7 linked regions of the Nothobranchius furzeri genome follow. The protein of the gene in region 3 binds, or shares a complex with, the protein of the main gene of each other region. Links are inferred from orthologs where the notes say so. Each region holds a gene or a part of one and is shown on either strand. Other genes may lie near its edges.

Region 1 (4,049 bases), on a different chromosome or scaffold from region 3:
ATCGGAATATTTAAAGGAATCTTTGCTCGTTCAATAACCAAATTTACACCATTCTGTGTTTCATTTCAAAGAAGAGTCAGGTTTAAAAAGTTAAGAATTTATAACGAACAATTTAAAGATGACAATTTATAACAGCTTTGATATTAAAACTTGGTATTAAAAGCAAACCTGTGTCTGGATGAAAGCTAAAATGAAATGCGTGTGTTGGATGTGTGACTGGAATCTCAGAAGGTTTCTTTCAGAGAGAAACGCGTTCTGGGTGAAAGAGTTTGTTTTGCAGCTAACTAAGTTGTTTCTTAGAGATGACAGCATCAGACGCAATCTGTGTTCTACCTCACCCATCAGGCGACCCTCTGTGTGGATCCGGAGGTCAAGGAAGGATGTTGTCAGCCTCTGGGTACTCGGTCCGGTAGGGAAGGCGCGAGTGGTACCGACTCTCTGGTCCAAGAGTTGCCGCTGGCACACAGGTGTTGAGTTTGCGTCTTAACTCTGAAGGAGTTTTGTGTCAGCTGGTGCAGGTGGCGTTTATTCGGAGCGATTCTATCAGCGTGACAGAACAGCTTAGTGGAGGCTTCGGGCGGCCGACCCTTGTCCTCTGGGACTCTCGTGCCACGGAGAGGTTTTGGTTGGTTCAGAACTGTCAGCTTGAACTGAGGAGTTTTGGGTTTTATTAAAACTCAGAACACGCCCTCTCAGAGATAGAAAGCTTTGGTTATGGAGCAAAGACATGTGAGGTGGTTACCTTTACCCTGAATTCAGTGTCCTGCATGGTGTGTATAAGTGTACATGACCTTCTTTACACTGGTAAACATTACTGATTATCATAAATAATAATTATTAACCAAAGAATAATAATTCATTTCAGTAATTAAATACATTTATAATGAACCGTGATGATTATTTATGAACCTTGTAATAAACAGTGAAAAGAGTTTATTAAAAATGATTATTTTAAATCTTGAAGTGTCCTTCATCTTAGGATGGAACAGCAGACAGATTAAAGGCAGTCAGATTAAAGATGGTTCTAGAAGACTGTGCGTCTCCTGTGATGGATAATCTGTGGACAGAAGTTCAGCCAGGACAGCGTGACCTAGCTGGGGAAGTGTGACCTTTGGGTCACAAATATGGCCATTCATGTCGCTACATGTATGCAGTGTGTAAAACTGTTCCTACGTGCAGATCTGTGCATAAGTTTGTTTGATGAATGAGGGCCCTGGAGTTCTAACAATTTATTTTCGTGCGAAAATTTAAAAAACTATATTTCCACTAGCATTAGATTTGTTGTCAACCAGCTGGAGACGAGAAGCAAACTCACCAGCTGTGGAACAAACTCTCGCTCTTCAAACCAGCTGATCAGAACATCTAACAACATGAGAACTGTGGACTGAGACAAAAATATTAAGACTGTTAAACTGGCTAAAAACAACATGGATGTCATCGTAGACCCCCGTTTACCTGGTTTAGTCTGCTTACGATGCTCAGGAAGGGAGGGAAGCCAATCTAGACCCAAACAAACCATCAGTGAGACTTCACTTCCTTGGTCTCATGAAGGTGCCACAGAATTTTCATGAGTGGCGGATCATCAAAGGATTAAATAAATACACTTTATCTGTTTAGATTGTTTGCTTTTGTGGGAGAAGTAGAATGTGGAAACATCTCAGCTTTGATCGATTTAAATCAGGTAAACTCATTCTGAGGAGTAAGCGCTCACAAAGGCAATAAGGTGTAAACAGTTGTATAACCTTGCCGTAGTCCAATGCTGGTTCTTGGTGTGCATCCGTCGGGCCGGATGAAGTTCCCTGATAAACGTTCTCCCCTAAACAAAACCTCTTCCAGCCCTCCTCATCGGTCAGCCTCGGCTGTAAGACACCAGCGTCAAGCTTGCATAAACCAAACCTCCAGTGTGATGCTGCATGACAAGATTCTTACAGGTGCTTCAAATCCACCTTAACATGGGATTTCTGTCTCCCCTTGAAAGAATGCTGATTTCGGTTTGAGTAGTGAATAAAAATCTCACCATCTGCACGTTGTCATCCAGAATTTGGCTCCTCCAGTGTTGCCTGTTCTTGGTGATGCTCTGAGAAACAAAAGTGACTAAAGGACACTGTCCAGTGTGGACATGTTCGTAACGTGTGTTACTGTGTGGACATGTTCGTAACGTGTGTTACTGTGTGGACATGTTCGTAACGTGTGTTACTGTGAAGTCTCACCTGTCTGACGTCAGAGAAGTTACTGACTTGCTGCTGTTGCCACCTGAGGCTGGGGGAGAAGCCCTGAGGAGCAGCATGACATCCTGCTACCTGGAACCAAAACATGTTAAACATGTGGTGTGTGTGTGTGTGTGTGTGTGTGTGTGTGTGTGTGTGTGTGTGTGTGTGTGTGTGTGTGTGTCACTTACCGACACATTAACAGTTTGCTTCTTCAGTTTTGTGGGATCGATCTGAGCAACGACCACCTCCGGGCATAAAGAGGCCTCCAACCTAATGAAACACCAAACTTATAAAGCTCCGTGGTCGAACATGGTTCTGATTCTCGAGACGGTTCGGCTCGAACATACTGGACCTGTCGGAGGTACTCCTGGGGGTTTCTGGGGGTTCCACTCAAGTCCAGGTTTCCGCTCCCGCCTCCGGTCTCCAGCGGCAGGAGCCTCGGCATTAACTCCTCCACGTCCGACTTCATGTTCTAATAAAGTAAAAGAACAGCGGAACCGAATCAGGTAATGAAAAACACGCAAGTTTCACTACAGCACAGTCGCCATCTTCTTCTTCTTCTGGTGTTTTATTGGCGGTTGGCGAACAACGAATGGTGCATTACCGCCACCAACTGGTGTGGAGTGTGGTCTGGAACAGCGCTCATAAAACAAAATCAAACACGGGAAAGAAAGAACAAAAAAATACATATATATACACACACATACATACACATATATATACAAATACATATATACATCAAATTCTCCCAAACATCCTTATCTCTTTTAAAAACTGAAATAAAATCAGAAAACAGTCGCTTTTTGAATTCTGTCGGTCTAGTTTCACTTTGATCTGTCTAAGATTTTGAATCAATGTCCTTCTTCCTGCCTGATACTTCCGACATTGTAATATAACATGAACTATAGTTTCTTCTTCTCCACAATAATCGCATTTCCCTGTATTATGTTTCCCCATCATGAATAACGTATTGTTTAACCCAGTATGTCCAAACCTCAGTCTAGAAATGATCACCGCCTCTCTCCTACTCCTTCCAGTGTTTCTTATTTCTCCTACTCTTCTTTGAATTTTATACAACCATCTTCCCCTCCTTTCCTCCTCCCATTGTTTTTGCCATTTTTTCTTCATTTCTCGCCTTTTTATGCTCTTCATCTCTTTCTGACAAAATCGAACATCTAACTGAACCGAAGTATTTATTGTAGCTTCCTTAGCCATCTTATCGACTCCTTCATTTCCACTGATTCCACAACGAGCTGGAATCCATAAAAAATGTACTTTAAGTCCCATCGTGTTTATTCTATAAAGTGTTTGCTGAATCTCTAGGAGTATGTCTGGTCTGCTTCCTGAATGGCTGCACGTTAAACTGGTTAATGATGAGCTGGAGTCTGAACAAATAACTGAGAATAATGGTCTGTTTTCTTCCACCCATCGAACTGCTAACAGGATTGCGAGAATCTGTATAAATTTTTACATAGTTATAATAGTGATCGATATAATCCTGTGCTGTATGTGAGTTTAGTATGAAAGACTTATCCATATTCTTTCTCTCTAATAATGATAAATCAACAGACGCCTCAGGAAGAATCCATGGCGGAACAGCAGGTAATGGAACTCTTTGACTGATTGTAAACCGATCTCATTTAAGTTCTACTGGTTTTTTGATCATCACCCATCCAAAACTTGTTGTTTCCTTCTTTTCTTTCTCCCAGCAAGGTTTTGGTATGTCTCGTGTTGGATGATCTTCTTCCTGACCCTGAAGATTTGCCCAATAATTTAAAGCTATTCGTTCTCGTCTGATTGCTATTGGCATCTCACCCGTCTCTACCTGTAACGCTGCTA
Region 2 (4,099 bases), about 35 Mb from region 3:
TCAGCACCGACTCCAGCAGCTCCTTGGTGTCCATGGAGCTCAGGTGGTCGCTGTCCTCCGACGACCGCTCCCAGCACCTAACAGAGATCAGATGAGTAGAAGCCCAACAACAACCGCTGCACACACACACACACACGGGATCATACACACATGAGAGTCTGGTTGTACTGCTGGGCCAGAATATAGAGGAGGGGGAAGGGAGAGCAGTCCAACACCCAGTGAGGGGAGGGGGCTACTTCCTGGACACCCACAGCCAAAGCAGCGTGGAGGAGCTGCAGACTCAGTTCTGCATCGCAGGACTCTTCAGCTGCAGAAACACAGATGGGACAGCAGCAGAATGTGACGAGCGTTTACAGATCACACACAGATGAGATTAAAGCCAGCATGGACCCCGACCTGCAGCTGAGAGGCGAGGCAGGACCAGTGTGTTGACCACCTCCTGTGGAGACAAGAACCTCTGTGTCTCTTGCTCTCCCTGGAGCGTCGGGCCCGGCGCCATGAGCAGAGACAGGAACTTGAGGAGCTGCTCCTTTTCACAGGCGGACAGTGGCTTGCCTCTGACCGCCGTCTGTAAACACCTACAGAACAGACTACCACGCCCTCCAGCTTCCTGCTGCTCCACATCGTTTCCGTTTGCCTCATCCTCCCCTCCCCTCCGTCCGCGGAGTCCAGGCAGCTGCTGCAGGATCTTTGCCATGAGGCTGAAGGCTCCCCTGTTGAAAACGGCGGCGTGGCAGCAGGACCTTAAAGCCGCCTCTGGGCTCTGAAAGGCCACTCGAGCTACCAGAGAGGCTGCTGTGGTCAGGCGGCCCTGGGACACTGCTGCTGAGGCCCCGCCCCCTCCCTGGATAAGGCAGTTAAAGGCCATGTTCAGCTCTTGCTCAAAGCCGTCTGCCACAGCCGAGGGGACAGAGCAGCCAAAGAAGCCCCTGCTGGAGCGGCTCGGTACTGCAGCGAGGACCTTGTTCTGGTTTTCTAACGAAAGAGCAGAGAAGACATCTGCAGCCGTTTTAATGGCTCTCCTGCACCAGGTGGTGTTCACGTTCCCACGCTGCAGGCGACTCACGAGGGTGGAGGAGAGGCTGATGAGGGTGTTGGGCTGCGTGAAGGCCGTGTGGTTCTTCTCCAGGCAGTCCACCCACAGCTCTTCATGAGTCCAGGACAACTGGCTGGCAAACAGCGCAGCAAACTCCTCACAGTCCTCCAGGCGGTGACTGATGACGGTGGCAGCGACCTGAGCCTGCACCTGAGGGGGGGTCTCTACGGCAGGAAGAGACAGTGAACTCAGCAGACCTCTGAGTGTGCTCTTCTCAGTCACATGCTCAGATGTTCCCGTTTCTTCTAGAGCTGCCAGGACTCTCTGGACGCTCTGCTGCAGCAGGAACGCGGAGCAGCCAGGAGCGCTCAGGAGATCCTGTTCCAGCCAGAATTCTGTGAGTTCTGCTACGATCTTCAAAGCTTGGCTCAGCGTCATCCTGCTGGGCTGAAAAGGAGCTGGTGAGTGAGCAGCACGCAGGTCTCTCAGAGCCTCCTGAAGGAGTTTGGGGCTCCACGCCTGCGTCTGTCCTCTGGTGTCAACAAGCCTACAGAGGATGAGCAACTTCTCTTCAACTGGAAGCACAACCTCTGGGTCTGTTAGGAAGGATGTGTAAAGAGCGTCGAGGCAGACTAACAGGGACTGCAGGCACAAATCTGTAGTAGATACTTGATCTTTCATGTTCTTAAGAGCATGGAGGAGAACGTGCAGAACGTCTGTGTTTGCTGACGATGCAGGAAGGTCCAGCTTTAAGCGTTTTGCAGCCTGAGGCGAGACACTGGGACAATCGGAGGACAGGCGTGCAAACTGGCTGACAAACATCATCTCTAAGTCTTTGTCTTCCTGCGTCTGACATTTGTCTCTGCCTTTCCACAGCTCCCACCACACCTCCAACAGAAAGCAGACGTCTTCAGGACTGGGATCCGTCCTCAGATGCTCTGCCAGCGTTTGCAGCTCGGTGCAGATCTGCTGCTGAGGCAGACGCAGGAGCAAGCGGGCAAAGACCGGCGCAGCTGAGAGTGACTTCACCAGCTCCAGCAGAACAGCCCGGCTTACGTCAGGGAGGCCGTTCTGGAGGCAGAAGAAAGGGTTGTCCCTCCACCCCTTCTCCACATCTTCCTCAGCCTCACTGCTCATCAGCTTCAACCACACCACACAAACAACCTTCTTCTGCCAGGCCAGAGCGCTCAGCCCACAGGTGTCTCTGAGGGCCTGCAGGATCGGGAGCTTCACACGACTCCAGTCCGCCTTCTGCATCAGGGACAGGGATGAGGGGAGGCACAGTTTGTCTGCCTGGAGGAAAGCTCCCTGGAGCACGGCGGAATCTGAAAAACAGGCAAGCAACAGGCTGAGACCCGAGCTGGGCCGAGATCAGCGTTATCCAGGTGTGTGTGTGTGTGTGTGTGTGTGTGTGTGTGTGTGTGTGTGTGTGCGTGTGTGTGTGTGTGTGTGTGTGTGTGTGTGTGTGTGTGTGTGTGTGTGTGAAGGGGGGGCAGGCTGCAGGTGAAGCAGGTCCAGAACGAACGACTGGCTAGGAGAGGGCTCTTCAAACCTGCAGCTTGCTGCTTCAGCCTGAGCGTTTAGCGCCATGTTCGTCTCTACCGACTGGAGACGAAGCTCGCGCAAGTTCACGAGACATGTCTAACATTAATAATTACCTTTGTCCATGGCTGCGGAGGCAGGAACATACACCCGCCCGCCTCGTGAACCAGTTCGTTACCAGGAAAGGCGCTTCCGGTTTCCAGCAGGAAGCCGGGCTGCTGTCAGGTGGCGAGGCGTCCCCACAGCGCCACCCCTGGATAGATACGGTACTGCAGCCGCATTAACCCAGCAAACCGCCAAACCTGCTTCACCTTGTTGTTATTGTTGTTGTTGTTGTTGTTTTCCTCGCCTTTTCTGTTGGATTGTTGACTGGTTTGTTTTTACTGTTGCGAGGTTTTGCGTTGTTGACTAGACACCGCGTTCACCAGTGCTGCCGCCAGACCGGAACACCGGTTCAGCCCTACGTGTGATGGTTTAAACGTTACTCGCTTTTAGTGACATTTAAAAGTGTTTTGCAGTATTTCTCCTTGTGAAACTGTCTCTGCTCGTCACGTGATGCAGCTGCATGCAAAGCAGGTTTTTTTTCGTTGTAAATGAAAGCGAAAGTGTTCTGAGAATAAATGTGCAGCTGAATGAAGCAGGAACAAGGATCAGTAGATCTGATGAATAACCATGGTTCCACCCTGCAGGATTCTTATTTACGGTTTTATCTGGACAGGTAAGTCTTCAGAAGGCTTGTATCCCTGCGAGTGTGGGGACAGTTTGTGTTTTTGGAGGAAGCCCACTCGGATCAGCTGCTTTGAGTTGTTGGTCTGTCTCCAGGGGTCTACTGTAGCCAGCAGATACTATGGCTGCCCTGTCACTTCACAGATGAACAGGTGATTATGAACAATGAAGGACATAGAGAGACCCAGCGGATCCCCAGAAATGCTGTGCTGCAGTTTGGTCAGACAGGAGAAGCTCCTGTAGATCTACGCACCATCACTTTTCAGGTCACAGGTAAGCCACCTGACACAGGTCACCATTACACACCTGACAACGGTTGCACCTTACTCTTCTGTGTTCTGCTGCAGGGTCCAAGGTGGACATGCGGCACTATGTGGAGGGAGTGGAGGCAGAACAGCTGGAGTGTGAGCTGCGTAGATACAGCACACAGGGCATCTATGTCCACTGGCCCAGTCAGAAGGCCAGGGAGTACAACCACTGGTTCTCCGTCTCTCTCAAACACAACCAGGGCCTTTTCACTGTGCTCGGCTTCCTCAGACACCCGTCTGACCAGCCTCCACCAGGAAAGCAGGACTACCTCAGCTGGGTTCCCATCACTGATGGACAGATGCTCACTACATCAGGTCAGTTAGTTTCACTCCATAATGCCAACAGCTCCAGTTCTGGTTCTTTGATGGTGTTTCTCTGTGTTCTGTCTTTGTCCATCTGGTCTCACAGTTGCCATGGTAATGAAAACAGAAACACCACTGGTGAAAACCAGCCTGAGATCTGAACAAAAGCTCCACTGCCAGTTTA
Region 3 (4,233 bases):
CCAGTTGATGTAAATTGCTGATAATGACAGATTGTGTTTGCACCAGAGGTTTTTTTTTTAGCTGGAAGACTTAACATTCAACATCCTAGAGACTTTGTTTTTCTATAAACAAAATATTCTGTCATTTTAAATAAATAAACATTTAGATTTGTGCATTTAAATGTTAATAGTTTGATTGATAGACTTGTATCTTGTACTTACTCATCTGATTTAATGCTTGTTGCTCTCTTAATTGGGCCACTGTAGTGTGTTCAGATTAGAGAATGCAGCTCCATCCCATGTAAGGTAACGCTGAGCTCATTTTAGTCTGCATCTCAAGATGCAAGAGTCTAGGGTGAGTGTGCTTGGTAAAGGTATAGAACCGTGCAGTCTGGAAACCAATCCCACTCATTCACCTCTCCCAGCAACACACAGCCTGCCATTATCTACAGCAAGTGATTTCCACAGGTAGATCTGTAACCTTTGGAACAAGGTGGGTGGGTTGAGCACCCATAGGCGTCTGTCTGTCTCTTGCCAGAAAGCCAATCTCTTAGTGTCTCGTTGCTGCCACATATACCCGTTTCTCTCCTTTACACACACACACACACACACACACACACACACACACACACACACACACACACACACACACACACACACACACACACCTTTGCTGTGTTAAACAGCGAAACAAAGGCTTACCTGTTTGGGCTGCAGACTACGGAGAGGTCTGCTTCCTCAGTCTTATTTATTTCCTCTTTACTTTGTGAGGAGAGAGTTTTTGATATAGGGCTGCATGGTACAAATGGTACTGCTTCCCCACAACAAGAAGGTTGCAAGGTTGCCTTTCTTCAAAGTGCATTCTGGCCATGCATACACTGGTTTTCACTGGATACAACAAGAACATTTAGGTTCCATTGTGTCTCTAAATATAAATACATATTTGTTTGTCCCTGTTTGTCTCCATGTGGCCCTGTGCTAGACTGGTGACCCATCCAAGGACTCACCTCTTGACTGATGAGTGCTAGAGTTGGGCATCAGCTTCATGACGTATGAAGAATAAGCAATGACGAAAAAAGAGGGGCTTACCTTTTACACGCTTGTTCTATGCACTGGTTGTGTTGGAACTGTATTGAAGAACTACTATAGATGATGATGATGATGATAGATAGATAGATAGATAGATAGATAGATAGATAGATAGATAGATAGATAGATAGATAGATAGATAGATAGATAGATAGATAGATAGATAGATAGATAGATAGATAGATAGATAGATAGATAGATAGATAGATAGATAGATAGATAGATAGATAGATAGATAGATAGATAGATAGAATTTAGGAAAAAAGTAACTAAGAAAATAATAGTTTCAAGATTTTTACATTTATGGATGATTTTTTTTCCATTACACTTACCGAGCAGAATCTCCGTAACCCGGAAGTTATAGCGAACTGTTTAGAGCGCGTTGAGAATGACCCGGAAGTGTTTTCGTCCACGAGAAGAAGGCAGAAGCGTTGCTCATAAGAATTAGACGGTGGAAACGAGAGAAAAACAGCTTTAAACAGTTTTTATAAACCACCAATCATGTAAGTGTCGTTGATGATGAGATAGCCATTTCGGAAAGTGTCATTTTTTGAGATAGAGTATCAGCTACGAGTCGCAGCGTCTTTTCTCGAATGCTAACATGTTTAGCCTTTTCACTGATGAATGCTAGTTAGCTCACGTTGTGTTGCTTTCTAAACGTGCTATCGCTTTTCATATTTTACTCACCATTAACCTAATATGTACAGGGTAATTACTGCAATAAAATATATGTAGTAGTTACGTTGGTGATCGTTAATGATGCTACGATTGTTTAAATTTTATGTTTGCCAATTGCGAAATATTAGCAGCACGATTAAGGAGACCGGTGTTGAGTCAAATTGTGTTCCCCGTAGATAACAGTTTGACCAACTTTCTAAAATGTGCGTTTGGAGAATGAAATTGTCAGGATATTAGCCTAGTAACGAAGTCGGCTTTATGTTTTTGAAGCATATGAGCTTATTTTAATTCAGAACATCATTGTTAGCGACGTTCTGTCTCAAGGATGTTCCACATGTTTTTTTTAATCAATCTTCTAAGAAATCCATTGCTTGATACAAAAGAGTAAAGGAAGGTTATGAAGAAACTCAGAGAAACAGTTAATTGTTAATGCAAAACTTGTCATTCTAATCTCTTCAATTTTTTTTAACTTCTGATTGCTAACCAGTAAATTAAACGTGTATGTCTGATATTGTTGAATATTTGGCTATTGCTAAAAGTAGCTTGGTGTAAATTTTTTAAAATAAGTTATTAGTTTTGTTAAATGCCTATGGGAACTTCCCCACTCTTCTACTGAGAGATTTAAATTTTAATCTCGGTTAAAGTCAGGTTTCTTGAATTGCATTTAGTTAGGGTGCCTTGTTTTCATTTATTATCTTGTAATCATGTAAGTTTTAAAAGCAAACCGCTAAAAGGACTTGTGACCGTTATCTGTGCAGAAGCAAATGATCTAGTATCGTGTCTGCTTTTGTGTAGGAGTCTGTTGACGAAGCCCAAATCAGAGATGACACCAGAAGAACTCCAGAAGCGGGAGGAGGAGGAGTTCAACACCGGCCCCCTGTCGGTGCTCACCCAGTCAGTGAAAAACAACACTCAAGTCCTCATCAACTGCCGCAACAATAAGAAGCTGCTTGGAAGAGTTAAAGCTTTTGACAGGTATTGAAAGAATTTTCATCTAAAAAAAAACATTCAGAGTTCTGCATCTATGCGAGAAAATTTTACATTTAGCTTTTTATGTTTATTTATTTGCAGACGCTTTTATCCATAGCGACGTACAATTTTTTACTTGTAGGGCATGTTGTGATCTGTAGGGGAAACCGGAGTACCTGGAGGAAACCCATGCATGCATGGGGAGAACACTCAACTCCACGCAGAAAGGCCACAGCCGAGTTTCGAACCTGCAACCTTCTTGCTGCGAGGCAACAGTGCTAACAACTGCGCCACCATGCATTTATGCATTTGGATGGCAGAGTCAAAAAACTTAAAATCACATTTAGGTATGGCTGCCACAAAAGACAATTTTAATAGTAGACTAATCACCAGTTTTGTTGACGATTAGTCAACTAATCATGTCATCATGCATAAAAGTATAGCTTATTGCACCAGGGTGCCCTAATATACCCGATGATAGCTTATCAAACAGCTTTTAGTTAACTTTGTAACCCAGGGGTGCCGGAATCCTGGTCCTGCATGTTTTAGTTTGAACTCCGCTTCAACACACCTGATTTCAATCAGCAGCTAATTAACTGGCTTCTGCAGAGCCTGATGAGCTGCTGCACAGGTGTTTCAACCACTGAATCATGTCTGTTGGAGCAGAAAAAACACAAAACCTGCTGGATACCTGCCCTCCAGGACCAGGATTGGGCACCCCTGTAGTAACCTGTTAATACAAATGCTAAACAGTCAAATGGAGGTAGGCACCTAAAACTAGGGCTGTAGCGAAGCCTCGACGAAGTCGACGGCTCGATTCTAAAAATTTGTCGACGTCAGATCCGGAAGTTGACGCACCGCGCCCACTTGTTGCATCCCCAGGAGTTTGTAAATAGAGGAGGAATCTGCCTGTTTTTCCTCTAGTTTGCCCTCTTCTCCGCCTTCACTAACATCTCCGCCAAATACCGAAGACCCGGAACAATGTCCGTCCACTACTAGATTATTTTCCTGTTTTTCCCCTTCGTCTCCCGGCAACGGACAACAACTTCCGGGGTCAGATGCGCTGCTTCATGTCTATCGCAGATGTAGAAAATCACCGGGAGCGCTTCTCCCTTCATAAAGGAGCTTCTTTCAGACATGAGGAGAGCTGTTTTGGTGGTAGCAGTCTCTCCTCCCTGCTGGTCTGTTTGCTGCCGGGTGTTTTTGGTTTATTTAAACTTGGTAACTTGAACTTTTGGTAAAGCTACTGTTAGCATCTTCGCTAACAGCTTCTTGCATTGGGATAAGCTGTTACGTTTTGGTTTAGAGTTCATCTTTTTTGTGGTGTAGATCTCCCTTTTATTACATTTAGAGTGTTGTGGGTTTTCGGTTTAGTGTAAAATATTACCTGAGTTTGGTTTAACCCGTAAGACCACTCGCCTCACGCACATAAGTGACCAAAACAAAGCAGCATGGAGACACTCCATCTTCTACCACCTCTCAGGCAGCAGCCTGCACTCCCAAGTTCTACACGTCACC
Region 4 (3,962 bases), on a different chromosome or scaffold from region 3:
TTTAAATTATTGTTCTTTTAGGAAATTCACAAGACAAATGAAATAGTTTACACCTGTACTGATTTTCTTATACTATTGTTATATCAACACTGAAGCAAGACCATAAACTAGCAATAATCTCAAAAGAGCTACAACAATAATCATTTTCCCCTACATATTTATTTAGTGATGGTGTTTGCATTCATGCTCTTCCCACTGCCACTGAGGACGATGTACGGCGTTTTCTGAGATTTCTGTTTCTCTTGAAGCAAAGCCACCGTCCCCAGAGGTGTATCGCTGCTGCTCATCTTCTTCAGCAGCGCTTCCTCCTCCAGCTTTTTCATCCTCCTTTCAGTTTTCATCTTTCCAGAACCTTTGCCGTGGAAACGATGCGAAAGCTGCCTGAATGCCTCTTTTGGGGTGAGTCTGCGCCCAGACTCATCCACATACTCAATTTTGACGTCGGGTTTATATCCATCCTTTTCCTTGAAATCCTGCGTGAAGCCTCTGTATTCTTCCCGGCGACTGTACTTATCATCAAAGCCCATCTTGTCCTCGATGCAGTAGTTGTCATTAGGCAGGGACCCCTTTGTTGCTTTGACACGAGCCACCTTTTGCATTTGCGTGTCCAGCAGCCCTTTATTTTTGCACAGCAGTAAAGCAGCAGCAAGGCCAGAGTTCACGATGGGTTCCTCATCCAGGATAGTGGCAGAGGCTGTGGAAAATTCAGCATGATTTTGCTCCTCATCCAGGTTAACTGTGCTCCACCCAATATTTTCATCCATTTCGGAGTCTGAATCTCCAGCATCATCTTTCTCTTCTTCCTGTTCAAAGTCCATGATATCCTCCTGGTCTTCCCTGTTTCCAGACAGTCCATACGTTGGAATATCACCCAGAGTTCTGCAGAACTCAGAGGTGGCATTGAAGACAATGTTATTCCTCTTGTCAGGATCATTTTCGTCACCGCCTTTAACAAACCGTCTGATCTGCTCTGCCACCTTCTCCCCGGAGTCTTTGAGAAGCTGCTTCTGCCTCAGCTTCCTCTGTTTCTCCAGTTGTTTCTGCAGCTCCTGCTCTGCCTCATCCTCCTCAATTACAGCTGGCTCAGGAGGCGTGAAGTTTTCTTCATCACTCATTTCCATTTCTGCCGTCCTGATGTCATCAGACATTTGGGGGATTTCATGTGGCCAACGCTCGCCCTTGCCTGTATTCTCCTCTTCGTTGTCCTGTTTGCGGCCCCGACCTCGTGCTCGGGAGCCAAAGTCAGAGCTGCGAGTGTCATCAAGGAGCTCATCTGCAATTGTCTGCTTCTCCTTCTTCCTGATTTTCTTCACACGGCGTTTTGTCTTTTTAAAGCCAACCATTTCCTGAGGCGTGTAATACTCCGAAGCGATAGCAAGAGCAGGCATTTCCAAAGACTGGGCCTGGTTTTGCAGCGTTTCTTTCATAGCCTGCAGCTCCCGTTCTCGCTCCCCATCAGCAAATCCCCATGTGCTCAAACGAAAGCTCTTTTTCTTTTCACCTTCAATTTCTTCATCGTATTTTGAAAGTACAGTGCGGGGCTTAAAGGTGACCATGTCATCCACACTCTCCTCTTCTTCGTAGGGCTTGTAGTCAGGCTTTTTCTTTTTCAACTCCACATTCTTTTCTGCTTTTTCCTTGTCCACCAGTCCCACGTTCACAAGCACATCCTCCTCTTCTTCCAGGACACCTTTGTCTTGCAGGGTCAGAATGACAGTGTGGCCCTCCTTGAAGGAATCAACCTTGTGCTGCACTTTGAGGCCTTTGAGATCCCGTGAAGAATAAGAATCCAATTTACTTTGAGCAAACTCCTCTTCAACCAGATTGCTGACACCAAACTCCTCATCCATCTCTTCCAGAAGTTTGGCTCTTTTCTCTGCCATTTCTTTCTCTTGTGCCAGCTTTCTGCTTCTTTCAATCCAAGCGGCTGTGTCATCGAGCCAATCATCATCTGCAAGGTTTTTGACTTTGCCCAGTTTCTGATTGAGGAGACGTTTTTCTTTCATAGCTGCAAGCTTCTCCCTCATCTCTTTCTGCTGCTGGATGAGAACAGGGTTGATGGTCTCAGCCACCAGTGGCTCCTCTTTGGTTCCAAGTTCTTTCTTGTTCTCATTGAGTTCCAGAGGCTTTAAACCCAGCTTGGCTCGGAGTTTGTTCGTTTCCTCGACGCTGAGGGAAGCATCTCCACTTGCACTCTGAGGCTGTATTTCTGCACTGCCTTCCTCATAGCCAGGATCCAATTTCTCCCTCTTTATACGAGTCTCGCCACTGCTTTTTTCCCCTTTGCTGCGACTATCCCGTCTGCTCCTTTCCCTGGACCTGGAGCGTTTTCGTTTTTCTCGAGTTCCATCCCGATCTGAGGCATCTCTGTCTCTCTCTCGTTCTTTGTGCCGATGCTTCTTATGTTCACGACGGCGCTCTTCTGCGTCCTTATCGCGACTCTTTTCCTTGTGTTTCTTTGAAGAACCCATGATTTCGTCCGCTGTTTACAACTCCAGAGTCGTAGTTCCGTCACAGTCAAGCTGCGTACGCAGTCTCTTCAGCTGTATTGATGTGGTAAATGTCGCGAACTTTTCTCCCAACTAGGTCGAGTTAGCTTCAAAAGCTAAAGGGTTAGCCACGTCAAAACTCACTCATTTCGGGGAAAACTGCATCATATTTTCGATATCCAGCATCGGTGGAAAATACGTGGAGTTTCGTTGGTTTGTTTATTTGTAGCACCTCGCACCAGCATAAATACTAACAACCACGTTTTAAGTTTGCTACTTCGACGAAACGAACATACAACGACAACGAATTCGTTTCCGGAAGTCAAGTGGTAGAAAAAACTTTGCTCGCCCTGGTTGTATATCGCCCCCTGCTGGCTGGGGCTTTAACAACCGGACATTAACTGACAAACAAACGCTTTTAAATGTTTTAGGAAAATTGTTTGATACTTTACAAAAAGTACACGAAGTGCAACACAGCGATTTACTATCTCCTCTATTTTGGCGCAGTTCCTTTACTTTAGCTTGTTAGCTTAGCAAAGGTTGCAGCCTGCAACCTGCTGTATTTAGCAAGCCGTGATAGCATTTAATGAAGCAAAACATTTCCATTCACTTAAAATTTTAGATAAAGTTATAATAATTCCCATTATCAAAATGTATTTCTTACTTATCGTAACTGAAATAATATCTAGAAGTGCATTCTGATCAGTAAAAACACATTTTAATACTGTAATTGATATTTCAATTGGAAACCCCCAGGTTTAGAGTATTTAAAAATGCTTTTGATTCCAAACGGTCATTTGAACATTTAATGGCTGGGATGTTTATCACTTTCAGATATACATCAAAATTAATTCTTCTCAGACAAAGAGAAAAAGTCAGATGTCTAGCAATGGTTTCTGTCTACCAACAACAGCATTAAGGATTTTTTCAAATTACATTTTTCTACTTCAGCTTTTGCATTTATCTGTATTGAGCTCCAGATATCAAAAAGGGCATTGTGCTAATGTATTTGGCAGATGCTTTTGTCCAAAACGATCTATAAACAAGGATGTAACAGTACTTGCATCTGATTCTAACGATAAACTGATTAGAGGAAAGAACACTAGGCTCCGACAGAGGAGTATGCGAAAATAGTGTAGAAATGAATCAGAGTGCAACATAGATGGAAGTGCACAAAGAGATGCAGTGGAATAGAGGAAGGGATGGGTGGATCCTAGGGTAGGAGTAGGTGTAACATTATGGATATCATATCAGTTCACATGTTAATTTCACTCATTTTTATACATACTACATTTTAAATTTTACTTGAATCTGTTATGCTTTGGCTGCATGTTGGCACAGTGGTAGTGCTGTTGCCTTGCTGTATTTCAATAAATAAAGTTTGAATCAAATGCTATTTCATCAAGTTCTTAATAGATATTTTAATTATCTTTCAAAATATTTGTAATTGCATTTGTTGCGAGTTTCTCAATA
Region 5 (3,500 bases), on a different chromosome or scaffold from region 3:
GGTGGAGAAAAAAAGATGGCGAGTTCAGTGGTGTCACTCACAAACGCTGACACGGAGAAGTGACGTAATAAAAGAGAAATCCATCAGAAAATCTTTAGCTCTTTTTAAAAGACAAATCTGCATAATACCAACGGTGTGTCTTATAAACGCGCCACGCCGGCATGGCGATGTGCAAATTTTGCAGCATTCCTTCTGCCTCGCTTGGTAGTAATATTGCGGTAATTGTCTGACTTCTGAACAGCGATTGCACCTTGGTGCAACAGAGGGAGGTGTCATGATGACATGGTGAGTTACTGCCGAGCTCTGGCCGACAAATATTTTGAAAATGAAAGTGAACACGGGACGTAAGTTTTTCTTTTGTAAACAGAATCAGCTGAGATGTTAAACTGAAGCGATGCAGCACTCCAGGAGCTTCTCTCCATTAGAGCCGGAGGTCAGATCACCGGAGGCTGCACAGGACTGGGGGACACACACCTTTAGGAGCGGCTTGTTAAAAAAACTTAATGATCGCAGCTTCCATTGCAATAAAAAGCTAGTTATGTCCAAGATAAACGGAAGCCCGTGGCAGCACAGACACCGCCCCATACCTCCTGCCGACATCGCCTAATCTTTTATAAAAAGGACGCGATTGCGCCACATTACCACCATGACCTGACCACTTATAAATGACCCAAGGCTCCCTGATGCTGAAACGGAGTTGTGGAAAATAAATGGCATTGTTTAGTGAAGACGGCTTTGGCAACATTTGTATATTTAGTGGCTGACAGCACATTGGAGAGTTATGGAAAATAGGCTCTGTGGTGACAACAGATCACACACTGGTGCAGGTGAACTACTGATACTTCGCTGCAAGATTTCCTCCCACTAAAGCAAGTGCTTGTGGGATCAGGAAACTCCTGGTTCAGAGTCTTGCGGACTTCTGATCTCAGTTTATGAAACTTTAACTGAAGTGGCGTTTGTAATCGACGTCTTTAGTGATGCAGCTGAGTGTGGATTCAGCCTCCAGAACACGAAACAGCCACAAGGATTCGTCTGTCAGAGACACAGGCCCAGGACCTCTGCAGCAATCCCACCTCAGACATGCGATGACTATCCATAAGCAGGTACTGGCATTCCACAAAGACCAGGAGAAAGTAGTGAGATAGCAGGTGAACTGTTTTTATTTTTAAGTGTAATCATTTTATTTATTTGTTTATTTGTAGCTACTGGGGCCAAGGTCAGAGGTTTTTGTCACTGCAGAGACAAAGTTACAAGCATCCATCTGTATGAAGGTCTGTTCAGCCGGTTAGATCTGGACAGTAATTTGCTCACCTGGAAGCTTCCTGTCCTTTTGTCATACTTGATGAGGCTGTTCTTGTCCAGGATGTTGGCGGCGGTGTGCACCAGGTCCGTCCTACGCCTCTCCAGCAGCGGGTCGGAACTCCGGTCGTCATGGGAAACACCATACAAGGTGGGGTTGCGCAGCATGCGCACGTACAGATAGGTGTAACCCAGCCAGTTCACAGCATCCTGCAGTTAAATAGAAAAAAACTTTAATTATCATGAAAGTAAAATATTAATTTCATTCTTGTGTAGGTTTCAGTCACTAACCTTGACATTCTGAACATTTCCCAGCACTATCTCTGCGTTGAGCATGTCAGCCAGTTTGCCCACCATCTGACTCTCTATGGGCAGCTGCTGGTTCAGGAGGGACAGATAGTACTGCAGCTCTCCATGGGAGGTGATCAGGATTCCCTCTCCTTTGGTGTCATACTGAGGACGGCCAGCTCGACCCAGCATCTGAAATCAAACATTTCTTTCCGTCACCGCTGTCAGAAGAGCTACATATGACTGCAGACAGTAGAAACCAACCGACCTGTAAAATGTCCAGGGCTCCCAGTTCAGTCCACCGGCCTTTCTCTGGGCTGTAAACCTGGGTTCCTTTGATGATAACAGTATGTGCAGGCAGGTTGACACCCCAGGCCAGGGTGGCTGTCGATACCAGAACCTGAATGTGTTTGTCTGCAAATAAATCCTCCACCAGCGTACGGTCGACTCGGGTCATGCCAGCGTGGTGGATCGCAAACCCGTACGGAAGCAGATCCTTGAGCTCCAGGTTCTAGAAGAAAAAGATTCCATCACTCAAGTCCAACGCCTCACACCAGAAAGGTCTTTAAGTTCTCATTTCCTTACTTTGCATTGCTCTGCCTCTGTTCTCAACACTTCAGTGGATGCTGAACCCTCTCTGAGGAAAAGACCCAGAGTGTCCTTCTCCAAACACATGTCCCTTATGGCCCTGGCCGTCTTTCCCGTCTCTTTCCTGGAGTGGACAAATACCAGAACCTATGGAGGGGGGAAATGAAGATGTTAAAGTTGACAGAGTAAATAAACAAGAAATAAGATGATAATAAACTGGGGGTCAGAGGTCAGACAGAACTCACCTGGTTCTTTCCAGCATGTTCCATTATCTTTTCGTAGACGATCTCATTCATGATCTGAAATCGCTTGATGGCCTTCTTTTCTGTTATTCCGACATATGTCTGCTCCAGCGGCACAGGGCGGAAACTACAGAGAAAAAGAAACAACAATAACCATAGATGGAAATACAAATAACAAAAAGAGGGACCGAGTTTATCTCTAAAATTTACATTACTCTTCAAATAATGTACCTGTTGTCAAAGTAGAAGAGTCCCTTTGCAGGGTTGACACGCAGGCAGGTAGCCACGTCTTCGTAGTTGGGCAGCGTGGCACTCAGACCAATCAGACGTACGTCCTCCTGAGTCAGCTCCACATTACGAATGGTCCTCGCCACCAGAGATTCCAGCACCGGCCCGCGATCATCGTGCAGCAGGTGGATTTCATCCTGAGAAACACCCGCTTAGCTTAACCAGAAACCTTTAGCCTAAATTCATTTTGAACATTTGGCTCAGATCAAAACATACAATGATAATGAGGCGCACAAGCTGGGTGTAGGTACGCTCTCCTCCTTTCCGAGTGATGATGTCCCATTTCTCAGGGGTGCAAACAATGATCTGAGTGGCGTTGATCTCCTCTTTGCAGAGCTGGTGGTCTCCGGTCAGCTCGGACACAATGATGCCATAACTTGCTAATCTCTGAGATTAAAAAAGGAAACACGTTAAATGTAAACCTGTCCCACAAACAACGGGAAAAAGGTCTAAAATAGTGACTCAAGACTCACCTTACTAAAACTTCCCACCATTTCCTGTACAAGTGAGCGCATTGGCGCGATGTAGATGATTTTAAAGTCATCCACGTTGATCGTTCCATCCATGTTGATGTGCTTTCCAATTTCTCTTAGCATCGCCATGAGGGCAACGTTTGTCTTACCAGCTCCCTGTGAGCAGAACAAACCCCCAGTTAAAGAAAACACATAAAAACAACAAATCACACAATATTTGAACTTTACCAAGGCCTTCGTACCGTGGGCGCACACACTAGCAGGTTTTCATCCGTCTCCATGGTGGTCTTAAACAGTTTGCTCTGAATGCGGTTTAGAGTTT
Region 6 (4,223 bases), on a different chromosome or scaffold from region 3:
GGCTTCAACATGAAAACATGAAATACTACTAATTATTAGAATAAAACAATCTTATTTCCAGGTGTGTTTATTTCTCTTTAGTTTTAATAATGAGCCCAACACTAAAAGGCTTTTTGCAGGGGGTGGGGGTGGGGGTGGAGATTCATTTCTAATCGTTTAATTATCAAAATATTAAGTCACAAAACATTATTTTTTTCCCCAACACAAAACCTCAAATTTAAAAATAAATACATTAGCCGAAGTTAAATGGTGAACCTGCAGTTCCTCTCTACATGACCGTAAAACGAGACCTGCAGTCTGGGGTTGAGGTATTTAGGACTCTGTGATTTTTAGAAGGTCCAGTACATTAAAATGAAAAGTTTGATTTGTGAAAAAACAATTTTAGGACTTTGAATTGTTCAGAACAAATCCTTTGTTCTAGTGAATAAAACATGAGGGTAGTAGATCCTCCTAATGAAAAGCATCAGGGCTTGTTTATAAAATACTTGTGACACAGAAGCTTTACAAAAACATCATTTATTAAAAGATTACAACCTACATCAGTTCTCGTGCCACGTTGCTTCAGTTATAACAAAGAGATAAAGACGTTGTCACACCATGACTGCAATACAGCATCAAACTGATCTGGAAAAAGAACCAAAACGCCATTGGTCCATTACAAAATATACCTTCTGTTGAGTGCATGTGTCTCGATGTGTTTTAACAACAAGAACAAGTCTGTTGACTATAAACGGTGTACTGCTGATGCGTTCGTCTCCGTTTCCTTTACATGTCCTCCACACTCCATTTATATGCTGCCTCCTGGACGGCTTTCCTGTCTGCCATCCGCGTGTAGCGTTTTAACTCAAAACCATTCGACCTGCAAAACATCCATGTAAAAAAATGCCATCAAAATCTGCTATTGTAGCTTAAACTCCCCTGGATTTGATGCTTGTGTGTCCCCTGTTGAGGTTTTTCTTTGCAGATACCTGTCGACTCCATCCCAGCGATAGCCTGGCAGAATGTTGAAGCGGTTCGGCGGTGGTGGGGGGCCATTATACCTAGGTTTCACTGGAAATTCAGATAAGAAACACAAGTATTGTTACAATTTATAGAAAAAGAGTCAAAGTCGTGTTAGCAAGGCTTTGCTGAGAGGTTGCTAACCCTGAAGTACATTTTCAGTTAAAGCTTAAATGAAGACTTATAAAGTAAAGGAAGAGTAAAAACCTTTTGTCTTTTCTTTGCGGTCCTTCTTACGTCTCAGCATCGCCAACATAGGATCCCCTTCTCTTTCTTGCTCTCTCAACATGCGGTCCAGGTCCTCATCGTCATAGTGACGCGCCAGAGGCTTTTGGGCTTCGAGCACCGCATCCTCAAGTTTCTGCTGCTCCATCTGGCTCTGAGCCAACCTACACACACGTACACACACTTTAACGCTAAAATGTCAAATCTGCAAAGCAAGCCGTCTCAAAACATTTTTCATGCCTCTTAACAACGTTCTAACTTAGTACAGGTGTATTTTGTGGAGATTAAAGCTAATGGATTTGTCCTCAGCCAATAACACGGCTCGGTCGCAAACCAACAACTGGACCATCTGGTTGTTGATCGCACCGAACCGCCGCACTTCCCTGGGTCCTCTATTCATCACACACTCACGTGTTTAGCAACAGGACACCACCGGTGTGAGAGGTTCTCCACTCAGTAACATCAGAGAAGGAGAAACAGCTGCTTCAACTTTAGAACAAACTACCAGAGTCCCAAAAGGAAAAACACCATTTGAAGTCATGGACAACAAAAGACGTTTAGAAAATGGCGACTGGTGTTAAGCGCTATCTGGTTTGGTTCGGCAGTGCGAGTTCTGGTATCCGGTGGATGATAGCCTACAGGAGGGGTGAGAGTTCTGTGACTGTTTAAAAGCTAGCTTGTTCGTCGATTTGCTGTTGCAGCTTTAAATAGTGAAACGATTCACCCATTAGTGTCTTTTCAGTGCTGCACTCACCCTTTTCCCCACTGAGCATATTTCTCATCCTTTACTGCTTTCTCTTCAGCTTTTTTCTTCTGATCTTCTCTTTCCAAATCCAAATCTCTCCTTTTACCTCTCTTGTCTCGAAACACAGTCTGGGCACCGCGGGACTGATCTAGTCCAATCAGAGCCACAAGAAAGAAATACAAACACATAATTTGAGTATTGACTTGTTTCATTATGACATAAAAAATATAGTTTGTCTTGAAAAATGTGTGACGCTGATGAAAAAACACTTTACAAGTCCTCCAGTTTGGGGGTGTAAATGCTACCTTCTAGCGGCTGGTTGCTTCTGTCTCTGCGCCGGTTTTCCTCCTTTTCTTCCCTCAAAACCTCAATAGAAACAAGACCTGCTTTTCCACCAGAAAGCATCCTCGGACCCTGTTAAAACATCTTTTTTTAAAACCTGCAGCCATTTTGTGAGAACTTTTGAAAAGCACTCCTGCCTCACTTGTGAAGCTCCAGCTCTACGAGGTGGTGACAAATCTCCATCCGAGTCCTTTCCAGTCCGTGGCCTCCTCCTGGGTGGAGACTGGTCAGAGTCAGGAGACTGGCTGAATTTTGAGCGTCTTCTCGGAGGAGACTGGTCTGAATCGGAAGGCTTTTTCTTCTGGGGCTTTTTTCGTGGAGGTGACTGATCAGAGTCTGAATCGTGCCTCTTCTGACTCCTATCAGCTTGCGGTGAAGAACGATGATCTGGGCATGGTTTACTTGGTATCGAAGAGCTGGGCTTTCTTCTAGTGGGAGATGAATCTGGAAAATAGAAAACACAGATATGTTTAACAAAAATAGGGTATTAGTCAGGAAAATGATGATGTTAAACACACTCATTGAACACAGTTCAATGGACTACCACGATATTAATTTGTTTAGAATGAACTGCGTTCCATTTACCAGATGTCCATTCTCAGAAGGTTGGATATTTTTGGGGAGATTCTTCAGAAACCTAAACTGTTATCACCCGTCGGTTTTAAAATATTTAGGTTAAACAACAGAAAGCCTAAATTCTTCCACAGCTGATGGGGGCCAGGCTGAGGAGGATGCTGTCCTTGTCCATGAGATGGTACTGATGTTCTGGGAGAAGAAGACAGCTACATAACCAATGAGGATGGTGGTAGAGGAGGTGGTTGAGGTCTAGAAGTAGCTGGGTGACACCATCAACAATCAACTGGACTGAAGAGCCAAACTAGAGCTGTACACAATAAGGGGGTGGGTATTCCATGTCTTCAATCAATCAATCAATCAATCAATCAAAGCTTTATTTATAAAGCACCTTCCGCAACCCTGTCAGGAAGCCCAAAGCGCTTGAAGAACCTCTGGTGGTTTGAGGCTCTTTAACAGTTGTAGCTGGTGATCTGCACTTTGTTGATGCTTATTGATAGAGCATCATTGAAACCAATACCCAGTAGACTGAAAAAAAAAAAACTTGTAATTAAGGCTGCCTCTGTTTTTGAATGCAGGATGCACATCAGGGTTTTTCCTGGCTCAAACTGAGGCAGAGGTGGTACCATCCTGAACGTGCGCCAGCACATGCGTACTCTGTGCATTCAACTGCCTCACTGTTTTAAAGGCTAAATATTTTGTCGTTAAGTGTTCTAATCTAAGCTTCTGTTGACTAATTGAATATTCCATTTGACAACGTTTCAAGTGAAACTAAACTGGTTTGCTGCTAAAAAATATGAAATAAAACAAAATGATCAGGCTGAAATAACATACTCTTATTATGAAAGGCTCAATAATATGCATTAGATTGGTGTTTAGTTCCTTTTTCCCATTTGATATTTATAGTTAAATATCTTAAAATATTAATAACACTCATCTTAGTCACAATAACACATAAATATGTGCAGTAAAATATAATGCCTCGTCTCGTCTCGTCTTCCTCCGCTTATCCGGGTCCGGGTCGCGGGGGCAGCATCCCAACTAGGGAGCTCCAGGCCGTCCTCTCCCCGGCCTTGTCCACCAGCTCCTCCGGCAGGACCCCAAGGCGTTCCCGGACCAGATTGGAGATGTAACTTCTCCAACGTGTCCTGGGTCGACCCGGGGGCCTTCTGCCGGCAGGACATGCCCGAAACACCTCCCCAGGGAGGCGTCCAGGAGGCATCCTGACCAGATGCCCAAACCACCTCAACTGGCTCCTTTCGATCCGGAGGAGCAGCGGTTCTACTCCGAGTCCCTCCCGAATGTCCGAGCTCCTCACCCTATCTCTAAGGCTGAGCCC
Region 7 (4,224 bases), on a different chromosome or scaffold from region 3:
AGACACTTTTTCTGCACGTGCTGCAAACAGGATAGCCGTCTTCTATAAACTGTCCCTCGGCATTCTTCAAATATTCAAAAAATGCCCGTACTTCCCACTTTGTTTTCTTTGAGGTATAATAAATGTCCTGCGCGCTGCCGTTTCCTCCTTTGGCCATTATTTCAGCTTTAGCTTCAAGAAAGTTTTGGTTGTAAACAACAAAGTGCGCATGTGCCGCTGGCAACTTCAACAGATGATACGGTGGCTGGTAAGGGTCACCGCGCCTACACCGCAGCCACGGTAAACCACCGAGATAATATAGTTTTTTTAAAAACGGACGGTTATTATTATTGTCAACTTTTTTTTATTTTACCGGGGTTTACTGCTACACCGGTTACCGTGACAACCCTACCTGATCGGTCTGCTTTGATCCATTTTGAAAACTCCGATCAAAACCGATAGGGGCGCTATCGGCCAGTTGGGATCAAATGCCGATCCATCGGTGCATCCCTAGTAGTCAGTCGCAGCTGTATCTGCTCAGTCTAGAGAGGCACCACAAAAATCACACAGGTATCAAAATATTCCCTAACCCTACTTATTAACCCTATTAATGTAGAAGTTTACACTTCCAAAATATTCTATTTAATATTTAAATTCAAACAGCATATTATATTTAAAAATCACCCAAAATTAGTATCACTTTGAGGCAACACAAATCAGTTTCTGCCATCAGAAGCTAAATCAGTACATTTCTAATGTAACATAATGAATTAATTAACAAACGATGCTGTAAAATAGTAGCATTTTACCAGTTTTTTCAAAGCAGCAACAAAGGGGCTCGATGTTTTCATCGGAAGTGAGCTTCCTGTATAACTCCGACATGGTTAGTTTCCCAACTTTAAAAGGGAATATCTTGTGGTTTTCCTATAAAGATAGGTTTGAGGTGCAAAAATGCTTAATGAGAAAATGAAAATAAACATCTTGTGGTGCATGACTTTGAAAGTTTCATTTAAAAATTGTCAACAAATTTAAATCTCTAATCACTTTGGATTGAAAAAAAAAACCTAAACAACTGAAAGATCTATTAGAGCACACAGTGTAATAATGTTGTCTCTGTGAGCTAATAAGAATGAGGCTAGGAAGTTGACTGCACCAAAGACTCAGATCATGGCAAATGTACAGCCTTCATAACCTGGAATGTTTAATCATTAAATATGACTTGGAGCTATAGTAACAGAGGAAAACGGTGTTGTATAACGCCCTGCAGCGTGAAAACATCAAATCTTACCATTATTTCCTCTCAAAAAGGCATCTCCATACTTGTTTTTGAGTTGTCCATTGACATACTCCTCCGTCTGCTCTATTGCGATGTTCATGTAACCATCCAGACAGGCCAAAACACCTGCTCAGAGACAAACACAAACTTCAGATTAAAAATAAACTTACCTGGGCAATAAAACAACAACAGACCTGAACGTGCCAGCTAGGGAAGAGGGGCATACTGTTTTTTATGCATTTTGATGCAAACATAAACCATTACAAATTCATTCAAAAATTATCAAAACAGATTTTAATAATGATCATTATTTAGGTGAGTGTAAAAGGCAGACATCTGAAGTGCAGAAGTGTGGCACATTATGGTGTGCAACTGGGATGGAGTTTGAGTCTTGACTGAAGAAATAAATACATCAAATACTGAAAAACTGAACATTTTAAACTGTAACAAAGATGTCTGAGTAGGAGTGTTGTGTCAAAAAGTGTTCCTCCTCCATGTATCTGTGTAACCTGTGTGAATCTCTCTTTAGCTTGGTAAATGAATTAATATCAACACAAACACAAATAGTTTGTTGAAGATTAAAGCAAAATTTGGTCCTCACGAAACTTTTCAAGTTTATTCCAATTACTCAGCATTTAACTGGAGTTTAACTGCAGTAATTTAACTGTTTTTCAGTTAGTGTTTGTTTCATAGTTTCTAATCCTATATGGGATTACATCATTCAACTTCCTGTCTGCCTGTATAAAGAACTTAACTGTAATGAATTAAAAGATCATTAAAAATTAAAAGTAGTTGTCAGGGGGTCATTGTCTAGAACTAAACATGAGGCAGAAGGCGTAAAAAGATGCATCAATGACTGCTTAACAAACCCTCTGATTCATAACCTAATCAAACTCTGAGAACCCTAAACATTCCCACACCTGATGCCAGCTGCATTACCTCTGTAATCAACACCAGAGTTCAGTTTGACCACGACAGGTCTCCCAATTATCTGCTTCAGAAAGTCACTCGGGGTCTGCTTTCTCAAACTCATTTTCGCTTTTATCTAAAAGAATAAAACAGATGAGTAAATCTCATTTTATCACAATAAAGAACCGCATTAGCATTACCCTAATACACATTTAAGCTATAATTGATTATCTAGTAACAAAGGCATTATTCAAACCCGAGAATATTAAAACGAATAGCTGTAGCCAGATAGTACACGCCTAAATGCAAAACTATGTACGGTTAAAACGTTCAAATTATCAAATGAGCTTCTATGTAGCTAGCGAGCTAAGTGCTAACTACCAGCTATTCCGTGGGTCAGTTCGTTAGCCTCTAATAGCGTAGGAGATTGTTTAACAATAAAGTACAATGTACAGGTATTGTTACATCATAACAGATCCTAATAAGATAGGAAATAGATGTTTTACTAGTTTTACAGATGCGAACACCGAGCTAGCAAGTTACTCACTGGATGAACGATCTCACAACGATTTTATGTTCGGCGCATTGACCAATCACATTGGAGGACTACGGAAACTATGTAGGGACAAATGTCCTGAAAGCGCAAAGTTTTAATTCGATAGACAAAACAAGAATATTTAAAAGTACATTTTAAAAATACGATATACCCATTTCCTTTAACAAGTTATTTTCTATAAATGTATTTCTAATATGTTGTAATTAATATTATATCCACTGGCTTTCATATTATAATATACTAAAGTTTTTTTGTTTTGTTGTGCATTGTTATACTTTGAATAAACTGAAGCATTAGTAATATTTCTATTATGTAACAAATTCATACAGAAAATGAGAAACTACTGTAAATATGTAAAAACATAATATTTCATGTGAATGTCTCATTGTATTATTTTACTATTCTTTTTACAAATTCAAAATTTATCTCAATGTAATGTGGGATATGCACAAATAAGCCTATTCCAATTTCAGGTACATTTTCTTTCTTCTTGATCTGTAAGTGTTCAAACGTTTAAAAGAAAGAAAGAAAGAAAGAAAGAAAGAAAGAAAGAAAGAAAGAAAGAAAGAAAGAAAGAAAGAAAGAAAACAATCTTTTCTGTAGCTCCTCTCAAGACAAAAATCTCAAGGCACTTCACAAAAATATAAAATATAAAAAAGGTTTCAAAAAATGATTTAAAATATGTTCAAAATAAGCAAAAATAGACAATTGTGATTAAAAAGGCAAAGAGAGAGAGAGAAAGAAAGAGAGAGAGAGAGAGAGAGAGAGAGGGAGACAGAGAGAGAGAGAGGGAGAGGGAGAGGGGGAGACAGAGAGAGAGAGAGAGAGAGAGAGAGGGAGGGAGAGGGGGAGACAGAGAGAGAGAGAGAGAGAGAGAGAGAGAGAGAGAGAGAGAGAGAGAGAGAGAGAGAGAGAGAGAGAGAGAGAGAGAGAGAGAGTGAACAGGAAAGAGGGAAATCAGTGAATCTTGGGGAAATGGGAAAATGTGCACAGTATGTACAGTCTATGATGTGCACTTAAAAAAGACATCTTTTCATTCTTATAAACACATCACTTGTAAGTCGCTTTGGACAAAAGCGTCTGCTAAATACATAAACATAAACATAAACATGTGCCTGGTGAAATATTTTCTTATTATAACAAACATTTGTTAACATCACAAAAACTATTGAACCAATGGAAAACTTTTTTGTAGTTGTGAAGAAGTCTATGAATAAAGTGTATGAAAACAAATAATTCTTTTAATTATTCTAACGAGTAACCAACTTCGGGTTTGTAAAAAATATTATAGACACACACACACACACATATATATATATATATATATATATATATAAACCTTGGATGCTGGGAGCACGACCCAAACACTGCACAGCTTGGGAGGTACATGAGAAATGGTGTATGGGGGCAAACAAGGATGAAATAGTGGGGAGAAAAACAGAAGAGCATAGAGGGCGTGAGGATGTGCCAGTACGTGTTAGTGGAGACAGAAAGGTTGAGAGAG

Evidence for each region.
Region 1: snrpd2 (region 3) and gemin2 share a complex: the UniProt entries of both Homo sapiens proteins name them as parts of the SMN-Sm complex. The link is inferred for Nothobranchius furzeri from reciprocal best matches to the Homo sapiens genes SNRPD2 and GEMIN2.
Region 2: snrpd2 (region 3) and gemin4 share a complex: the UniProt entries of both Homo sapiens proteins name them as parts of the SMN-Sm complex. The link is inferred for Nothobranchius furzeri from reciprocal best matches to the Homo sapiens genes SNRPD2 and GEMIN4.
Region 4: snrpd2 (region 3) and sart1 share a complex: the UniProt entries of both Homo sapiens proteins name them as parts of the U4/U6-U5 tri-snRNP complex. The link is inferred for Nothobranchius furzeri from reciprocal best matches to the Homo sapiens genes SNRPD2 and SART1.
Region 5: snrpd2 (region 3) and snrnp200 share a complex: the UniProt entries of both Homo sapiens proteins name them as parts of the U4/U6-U5 tri-snRNP complex. The link is inferred for Nothobranchius furzeri from reciprocal best matches to the Homo sapiens genes SNRPD2 and SNRNP200.
Region 6: snrpd2 (region 3) and bud13 share a complex: the UniProt entries of both Homo sapiens proteins name them as parts of the minor spliceosome. The link is inferred for Nothobranchius furzeri from reciprocal best matches to the Homo sapiens genes SNRPD2 and BUD13.
Region 7: snrpd2 (region 3) and lsm6 share a complex: the UniProt entries of both Homo sapiens proteins name them as parts of the U4/U6-U5 tri-snRNP complex. The link is inferred for Nothobranchius furzeri from reciprocal best matches to the Homo sapiens genes SNRPD2 and LSM6.

Annotation. Positions count from the first base shown.
Region 1 is NC_091758.1:40,480,325-40,484,373, forward strand, and holds the start of gemin2 (gem-associated protein 2), read right to left. Parts: upstream 2,801-4,049; 5' UTR 2,680-2,800; coding exon 2,558-2,679; intron 2,481-2,557; coding exon 2,399-2,480; intron 2,301-2,398; coding exon 2,211-2,300; intron 2,105-2,210; coding exon 2,018-2,104; intron 1,860-2,017; coding exon 1,743-1,859; intron 1,501-1,742; coding exon 1,456-1,500; intron 1,385-1,455; coding exon 1,316-1,384; intron 1-1,315. UniProt on the Homo sapiens protein: The SMN complex catalyzes the assembly of small nuclear ribonucleoproteins (snRNPs), the building blocks of the spliceosome, and thereby plays an important role in the splicing of cellular pre-mRNAs.
Region 2 is NC_091753.1:62,516,060-62,520,158, reverse strand, and holds the start of gemin4 (gem-associated protein 4), read right to left. Parts: upstream 2,801-4,099; 5' UTR 2,705-2,800; coding exon 2,695-2,704; intron 2,362-2,694; coding exon 397-2,361; intron 308-396; coding exon 151-307; intron 78-150; coding exon 1-77. Other genes in the region: dhrs13b.2 (tapasin-related protein), read left to right, coding at 3,251-3,296, 3,401-3,577, 3,652-3,927, 4,022-4,099. UniProt on the Homo sapiens protein: The SMN complex catalyzes the assembly of small nuclear ribonucleoproteins (snRNPs), the building blocks of the spliceosome, and thereby plays an important role in the splicing of cellular pre-mRNAs.
Region 3 is NC_091753.1:27,245,641-27,249,873, forward strand, and holds the start of snrpd2 (small nuclear ribonucleoprotein Sm D2), read left to right. Parts: upstream 1-1,433; 5' UTR 1,434-1,569; coding exon 1,570-1,571; intron 1,572-2,541; coding exon 2,542-2,721; intron 2,722-4,233. UniProt on the Homo sapiens protein: Plays a role in pre-mRNA splicing as a core component of the spliceosomal U1, U2, U4 and U5 small nuclear ribonucleoproteins (snRNPs), the building blocks of the spliceosome.
Region 4 is NC_091744.1:19,554,741-19,558,702, reverse strand, and holds the start of sart1 (U4/U6.U5 tri-snRNP-associated protein 1), read right to left. Parts: upstream 2,801-3,962; 5' UTR 2,472-2,800; coding exon 159-2,471; 3' UTR 1-158. UniProt on the Homo sapiens protein: Plays a role in mRNA splicing as a component of the U4/U6-U5 tri-snRNP, one of the building blocks of the spliceosome. May also bind to DNA.
Region 5 is NC_091757.1:37,097,870-37,101,369, reverse strand, and holds part of snrnp200 (U5 small nuclear ribonucleoprotein 200 kDa helicase), read right to left. Parts: coding exon 3,421-3,500; intron 3,335-3,420; coding exon 3,179-3,334; intron 3,093-3,178; coding exon 2,922-3,092; intron 2,843-2,921; coding exon 2,649-2,842; intron 2,545-2,648; coding exon 2,421-2,544; intron 2,323-2,420; coding exon 2,173-2,322; intron 2,099-2,172; coding exon 1,856-2,098; intron 1,780-1,855; coding exon 1,591-1,779; intron 1,510-1,590; coding exon 1,312-1,509; intron 1-1,311. UniProt on the Homo sapiens protein: Catalyzes the ATP-dependent unwinding of U4/U6 RNA duplices, an essential step in the assembly of a catalytically active spliceosome. Plays a role in pre-mRNA splicing as a core component of precatalytic, catalytic and postcatalytic spliceosomal complexes.
Region 6 is NC_091750.1:44,763,527-44,767,749, forward strand, and holds the end of bud13 (BUD13 homolog), read right to left. Parts: intron 2,756-4,223; coding exon 2,454-2,755; intron 2,384-2,453; coding exon 2,275-2,383; intron 2,118-2,274; coding exon 1,979-2,117; intron 1,389-1,978; coding exon 1,207-1,388; intron 1,051-1,206; coding exon 969-1,050; intron 860-968; coding exon 766-859; 3' UTR 501-765; downstream 1-500. UniProt on the Homo sapiens protein: Involved in pre-mRNA splicing as component of the activated spliceosome. As a component of the minor spliceosome, involved in the splicing of U12-type introns in pre-mRNAs.
Region 7 is NC_091744.1:10,586,904-10,591,127, forward strand, and holds the start of lsm6 (U6 snRNA-associated Sm-like protein LSm6), read right to left. Parts: upstream 2,801-4,224; 5' UTR 2,712-2,800; exon of another isoform or gene 2,671-2,711; intron 2,651-2,670; exon of another isoform or gene 2,546-2,650; intron 2,301-2,545; 5' UTR 2,289-2,300; coding exon 2,195-2,288; intron 1,382-2,194; coding exon 1,268-1,381; intron 904-1,267; exon of another isoform or gene 789-903; intron 1-788. UniProt on the Homo sapiens protein: Plays a role in pre-mRNA splicing as component of the U4/U6-U5 tri-snRNP complex that is involved in spliceosome assembly, and as component of the precatalytic spliceosome (spliceosome B complex).